2 linked regions of the Xenopus tropicalis genome follow. The protein of the gene in region 1 purifies or fractionates together with the protein of each later gene. This does not show direct contact. Links are inferred from orthologs where the notes say so. Each region holds a gene or a part of one and is shown on either strand. Other genes may lie near its edges.

The links. Proteins that work in one complex are often made in the same cells at the same time.
Region 2: the proteins of eif3g (region 1) and eif5 purify together in Homo sapiens (affinity purification with western blotting; 3 studies listed by BioGRID and IntAct, with this or other methods). This does not show direct contact. The link is inferred for Xenopus tropicalis from reciprocal best matches to the Homo sapiens genes EIF3G and EIF5.

Annotation. Positions count from the first base shown.
Region 1 is NC_030679.2:137,098,809-137,102,556, reverse strand, and holds the start of eif3g (eukaryotic translation initiation factor 3 subunit G), read left to right. Parts: upstream 1-1,534; 5' UTR 1,535-1,566; coding exon 1,567-1,586; intron 1,587-2,730; coding exon 2,731-2,828; intron 2,829-3,543; coding exon 3,544-3,632; intron 3,633-3,748. UniProt on the Homo sapiens protein: RNA-binding component of the eukaryotic translation initiation factor 3 (eIF-3) complex, which is required for several steps in the initiation of protein synthesis.
Region 2 is NC_030684.2:98,282,712-98,286,459, reverse strand, and holds the start of eif5 (eukaryotic translation initiation factor 5), read right to left. Parts: upstream 2,651-3,748; 5' UTR 2,528-2,650; intron 1,548-2,527; 5' UTR 1,340-1,547; coding exon 1,268-1,339; intron 1,182-1,267; coding exon 1,100-1,181; intron 765-1,099; coding exon 592-764; intron 1-591.

The DNA.
Region 1 (3,748 bases):
AGGTGTCGGTATGTGCATGTTTGGGGGACTGCAGGTGTCGGTATGTGCATGTTTGGGGGACTGCAGGTGTCGGTATGAGCACGTTTGGGGGACTGCAGGTGTCGGTATGAGCACGTTTGGGGGACTGCAGGTGTCGGTATGTGCATGTTTGGGGGACTGCAGGTGTCGGTATGAGCACGTTTGGGGGACTGCAGGTGTCGGTATGTGCACGTTTGGGGGACTGCAGGTGTCGGTATGTGCACGTTTGGGGGACTGCAGGTGTCGGTATGTGCACGTTTGGGGGACTGCAGGTGTCGGTATGTGCACGTTTGGGGGACTGCAGGTGTCGGTATGTGCACGTTTGGGGGACTGCAGGTGTCGGTATGTGCACGTTTGGGGGACTGCAGGTGTCGGTATGTGCACGTTTGAGGGACTGCAGGTGTCGGTATGTGCACGTTTGGGGGACTGCAGGTGTCGGTATGTGCACGTTTGGGGGACTGCAGGTGTCGGTATGTGCATGTTTGGGGGACTGCAGGTGTCGGTATGTGCATGTTTGGGGGACTGCAGAAGGTACAGAGGGAGTTGAAATGTGAGCAGATTATGATGAGAGGGGGAAAGGGGATTGAACAGAATTTTGTAAATATTAGATCCAGGGAGTTCCCATTGGAGTGAGAGGGGGAGTCAGAGCACAGAGATAACCCAAAGGAGGATGTGAGTGAGAGGAGTTTAGAGACAGGAGGGGCATTAGGGTTGTTACCAGGTTAGTACAATGGATTTCAATGTGCTGGGGGCTGAGTTCCTCACAACTGTAACCAAAGCTCAAGCATAATGAGAGCTAGAACTCCGGCCTCATGGCAACACTGCAGCTTATGGGCCCAGCTGAGGGAAAGCATTGGACGACCAACCAACAGACCCTGCTAGTGATAGACTACACGCAACCAACAGCCTCCATTCACATTATTTATCATGAGGCCACTGAAATAATAAGGGGCCCAAGCAAATATCCGCTGTGCGCCGCCCTATAATCGGCAATAATCTATTAGCCACAGGGCACGGTAACCGCCAAGTGCCAGTAACTAGTACAAAGTGAGGGAAAAGTACTGGCACTAAATACAAGCGCTACAGCAAATCGACTTCCGCCTCCGAATTCTCGGATTAGATAGTGGAAATTGAAGGACAGCACTATAGAGCGGCACCGGAAGCGCCTCTCTATCCGCCAGCTTGAGCTTGTTACTAGCGCGCAGTGTGGAGCCATCTCTCTCTTCAGCTTCCGGAAGCGCTAGCAGCCGCGGCCCAGTGCAGCACAGACATGCCGACCGCAGACTAGAGCGGCACCGGAAGTACCTCTCTATCCGGCGGCCTGAGCTTGTTACTAGCGCGCAGTGTGGAGCCATCTCTCTCTTCAGCTTCCGGAAGCGCTAGCAGCCGCGGCCCAGTGCAGCACAGACATGCCGACCGCAGACTAGAGCGGCACCGGAAGTACCTCTCTATCCGGCGGCCTGAGCTTGTTACTAGCGCGCAGTGTGGAGCCATCTCTCTCTTCAGCTTCCGGAAGCGCTAGCAGCCGCGGCCCAGCGCACCACAGACATGCCGACCGAAGACTATGAGTATGTGCGGGGAAATAGCATGGGAGCCAAGCGGGGAGTAGGAGGGCAGGGAACACACACTGTAGTCACGGTTGGAGTGAGAGTCTGTGGCCAAATGGAGATTTAGGGGAGACGTTCAGCCTTTGGGACCCTGTGTCCTACTTTAGGATTTCCAGATGTTGGTGGACTACAAGCGGGCCCGGTCTGGCCATCTGTGCGCTCTGGCAAATGCCAGAGGGGGCGCTGTCACTGTTTTATTGGGCCTGTGGGAGCCTCTGTATCATTGAATTGCACGATTGGATCCAGTCCTGACTACAAGTCCCAGCCATGTGAGTTGTAGTTCACCAACATCTGGGTATCCAAGTGTATGTAAGGCTGGGAGAGCCATAGTGTGTAGGGTAGGGAGGTCCAACCTAGGGCTGGGCGATATACCGTTTAATACCGAATACCGTTTTTTTTTTTTATAAAACTATATTCATTTTTCAGATACCGCAATACCGGGGTGTCAGGGTACTCACCCGTGCGGCCCGGTCTCGCGCGTGTCCCGTTGTCCATGGGACGTTGCGCACGCGCGCCCAGGTGCGCATGCGTCAAAGCGCACGTACATGTCAAAGCGTGCGCGTCTATGACGCGCTGATGGCGCCGGTTCTGCGCATGCGTGGGGGGTATTTAAAGTTATCAAACGCCTCCTCCTGTGCTATGTTGTCTGCGGCCTTGCCTGGGAAACTAAGCCTGCCTGATTTACCTTACGACTTTCTGTTGCCGATCCTTCACTTGCCTGACTCTGATTTTCAATACTGCAGTAATTATTCTCTAATTTATTAGGAAATGGGGTTAACACCTAATCATGCATGGAAAAAAAAATACCGTCAAATACCGTGACACCGATATAATTTTGAAAAATACCGTGATATAAATTTTTGGTCATACCGCCCAGCTCTAGTCCAACCTGCAACCCTCTGGCTTGCAGTGTATGCTGGGAGTTCAATGGATATTACAGGCTAGCTTCTGGCTGAGAGGGGTTAGGAACTTATAGGTGATGAGTGAAACAATACTAATTTGGGATGGGATGAGCCCTCCCCACCAGGGAGGGAGCGGGTACGAGGCTGAATGCCAGGCTGGCAGATGTGGGTATCTAGTCTGAGATCTCTGTTTATCCTTTCAGCTCCAAGCCCAGCTGGGCTGACCAGGTGGAGGAGGAAGGAATAGACCCAGAACCCATAAGTCCACCAGTCACCAAGGTCCAACAAGATCCAGCCAGCTGTGAGTATTTATTTGCAGACCTACACAAGGGTATCCGGCTACAGGGGCAGAAAGGGCATGGAACTGCCTTGCGTGTCACAAGACCACATTAGACTGCTAATACCGCGTTTTTAGCCTAGCAGCTCTCTTGAAAGTCAGTGACCAGCCTGTCCAGGTTGTGCATAGTCACTTAGGTACAGTCTGACTGCTCTGATTGCTGCTGAGCCAAGAGCCTCTTATTAGCACTAAAATAGAAGGTTAATGTAAACAGTGTAATTATGTCAATAAATGTTAATTTTTTTAGCTTTAGATCCCACTTATTTCTTCCTCTGTTGACTTTTCAGCAGTGTAGACAAAGCAGATAGCCGAACATTCTCAAACTTTCTCATTTAGTGCTCCTATAAAGTCCTGTTTTGGGTAGTGGAGCTGAACTGTATATTTTAAATTAGAATTCCACTCACTACAGTTACCCCACAGCAACTGGAGGCCCACCGACTGAATGTGGCCCTCCAGATATGCTTTATGGCCCCCAGTCTGCTTTAAAGCTCTATGGAATTCACTGTATGAAATAATTTTAATGTAATAATCCAAACATTGTATATGAGAAATAATTAGCCCACTACATGCAATAAGCTGGACAGCTTTACCCCACAGTAATAGCTGGCTGAATTTAGGCCTTGTTGTGTGTATGTTTGAGCAGGCTGTCTGTTATGATTATGATTTTACCCCCCCCCAGTTGTTCTGGACACTCCTCAAGAGGTCATCAATGGTAAAATCAAAACTATCACAGAGTACAAGCTGAATGATGAAGGCAAGAAAATCAAGGTAGGGACAGCGCATTATTATTGGTGGGGAGGGCTTGCACTTTGTTTCATTTTCATACTCTGTGTACTTATGGGAGAAAGGCTTACATCTGCTACAGATGCTATGAATGCAGTATG
Region 2 (3,748 bases), on another chromosome or scaffold:
AAAAGGTGTCCATACACCGAAGGTAGGCGTTATTGGCCCAATTCGAATTAAGCGGGTGGGCAACCCTATCCAAGAAGAGGCCCACTAAACCAGACACCTCCCCAGGTTACCATACACTGCACGTAAAAAAACTTAATTGTTCCAACATTCAAGGCTATTATTGTACTTTTAGGCTCACAACAGAACATATTCTAAAAAAAGTGTCCAAATCAGACAGAAGTCTGTCATTAGTATTGATAAAAACCACACATCACTGCTAAAAACCCATGTGCCTACACCCTTACAAATCATACCTTTATCCTGTTATAATGCAGTAGGTAACATGCATGTCAAATTACTAATGTTCAAGCACAGACTGGCAGTGCTGTATTTTAACTCCAGATACAAAAAATATTAAATTGAATATCACCACATTCAAGTAAAAACCGTGTTGAAAGATTTGCACATTCACAATGTTGACCTCTTTAGGGTCAATAGCTCAATATGTTCCATGCCTCATGAAATATCAGGCTTCCACAAATATTAAAAGGCATCTGCAGTACTAGATAGAAATTGAAATGATAAATATATGTGGAATACATGAATTCTTACCAGATCAGTTTCAGGATTCTCACATTCAGGACACAGAACAAACTTTTTAATAAATCCATCCAACATATCTTGCAGCTTATTTGCCTCATGAGAGCCATTGACAATGTAACGGTCATTCTTAACATCAAACTGGGTCTGTGCTCCCAGCTCACAACCAAAATATTTGGTGGGATCTTGGAAAAAAAAAAAAATAAATACACAAAATGAATACATAGACTGGAAGTGGTCCTCCAAGACAAGACATTATTGGCCCAAGCAAACACAAACAGGGTCATGGCTGCCCAAAACTTGTGTGTAATATAAGCATCAAATCAGATATCTACAACTCACTAACATGTTTCAGCAGTCAAAAAATACAAACCTGTCACACAGACTACAGCTCTGTAGAGTAAACATTAGCATTAAATGTAAAAACAAGGACAGAGCATTTCAGTGGATTTAAAATATAGAAGTCGATTACACATAACTGTATACAAGAAGGTAAAGCACTACTGCAAATTCAACTTACAGGTTGGAGGCCGATTAAGCGCCTTTGCAACATCAACCATGTTGACTATTACTGTCTTTATTCCATTTCCTTTGCCCTCTACCTGTAAGAAATAAGGAAACCAATGAGCATGGCAAGTAGAATAACTTATTTTAAGACTTTGTTGCAAAATACAAATAGATACATTACCTTAGCAATCAAACGGGGCATTTTGTACCGATAGAACTGATCGGAAACACTTCGGTTGACATTGACAGACATTTTGGTTTATTATTAGCCCTTTCAATAACGAGAAATGGTCTTTGATTGCAACTTTTTGGTATCTTCTGTCTGGAGAAGACTGGATGACATAAACGACTGCAAGAGTTCTCGGTCTCTGACATGAAAATAATTTCGCCACCGAGGCTGCAAGCGTCCTGCTTGTATGCTATGTTCCCCCAATACAGGTACCAATGGCTGCGCAACAGCTCTGCAGAGGAGGTACAAAAATATAACACATCAGAAAAACAAATTAAAAAAAACACAACTTAAAAAGGCCTTATAGACATTATGTACTGCACTACTATGGTAGTATACCCCTTTTTTAACATGACTTCAATGAAAAGGTCTTGCACTGCAGCAAAGTTTTTGTAAATTTCTTTAGCAAAACAGGTAAAATTAAGCTACTCAATGTTGGGTCCTTGCAAGGCAGAGTACCAATGCACTAATTATTTCCCTGCACAACAGACTCCTGCTAAGAAAAGTCACAGTAGTGGGTGAAGGAAGGGGACCTGCTCAGAAATAAACCAGATTTTTCATGATTATAACAATAGGCAGAAATTTTGTTCATAAGCCTTATTTACTGAACCAGAGGATATACTGCCTCTTTAATTTGGTAAAGAAAAAAAACTAACTTTTTTTGAATAATGAAAGAAACAATGCCAAGCAATTTTCCCCAGTCTAAAATAATTCAAAAAGCTGTTGAGAAAAAGTTCCAGTTTGTTGGTCTGATAATCAAATGATGCTATATTGTTCCAGGAGTCAGAACCAGAATTGCAGAACACCCAGAAAGATACTGCTTTCACTATTTTGAAAGACACTATATATATATATATATATATATATATATATATATATATATATATATATATATATATATATATATATATATATATATATATATATATATATATATATATATATATATATATATATATATATATATTATTTATATTATCTCTATCCTAATGTAAAACCTTATAGAATTAAAATGAAAAACTTTCTGAGATTACAAAAAAAAAGGAAATAAGTCTTTCCTTAACTACAACTTAGCTTTATAAGAGTTTCAATGTGTTAAAGCAGTGGCCCAGTCTCGAGGAGTTAAAACAATGTTTACATATGAGCAGATGGGACTAATTGTAATAGGTGAGCCATAAGCCCTTGGGAGGCGTCAGAAACCAGGTAACTCACCAAGGACTATAGGGGTTAAAGAAAACAGACATGAGTAAAAAGGCAGCTCTGGGGGAGCGGAGGGCCAGCTGCTCCGGATGACTCACAACTGCAGCACTGAGTCAGTCCTGGAATCGCGGCCACGCATGCGCACACTTCCCAAATTCTCCCACCCCTTATCTTTTATACCCACAACCCACCTTGACGATATCACCCCTCTTCCGCCACTAAAAGCATGTTCTCAACCCACCCACTTATAAGCCCCACTTCAGTTTGCCCGGGAGGCCCCGTATCCGCCGGCTGCAAAATGCGTCACGTCTGAAGTCACGAGGCACGGCAGCCATTTTACATCAACATCCCGCTGCGGCCTACATTAGGGCGAACGTAGCACTCCCCCTCCCCATTAGCCTTCCGGTCGGTGCGGACAAATTCCTCGACAAAGACCTTGAAGTCGCCCAACACAGAGTCCAGAACAGTGGTATTGTCGCATGTTGCAATTCCCAGCCCCATAGCTTGCTGTACAGCCGTGTTTTAACCGAGGGACTAGCAACCTTCAGCCCTCAATGTAAGGCTAATAGCCTCCTGCTGTTTTTTTCGTTTTCATTCGTCGACTAATGGAGCCCCACACTGCTTATGTAGCGACCGTGCTCCACCTGTAACATATGCAACGCAGCCCGAGGGTACTTACCGTTTTCGTCCAATAAAGACATAAACACAACGCTGCTCGCCCTGGGTGCGATGAACGGGAAGGCAGGATAAAACGTCTTTACGATGTACACACACAGTGCGCTGGTTGGGGCGGCGGTGGTGGAGACGGCACAGCACGACGCTGGCCAACACACCAGCAGAAAGCTCCAAATTATAAGCAACAAAACAGGAGACACCCTCCGGCCGGGGGATCTAGAAAAAACAACACATGATGATCAGCAAGTGAGAGCTAGCGCGAACTGCGCAACTACTTAGCACCGAATGGGTTAAAGACGTTGTTAATTAATAATTAAGTCTTTAACTAATCAAATGAAAGCAGCTGTTTCGATGCAGGGTATAAACTTAGGGCCACACTGACTCATCACTCACCTCAGAAAGCTTCTAGCTGTCTCTAGCACGAAAAGCGCAGAGAGTTGATCTTTACCCCCTCCCCGCGCAGAGAGTGTCTGTGGGTGTGGCGCTGATCTGCAGGCTGCCAATAGGCTATACACATGGTACACTTCCCCTACCGCTGATTGGTCACAGCAAGTGCTT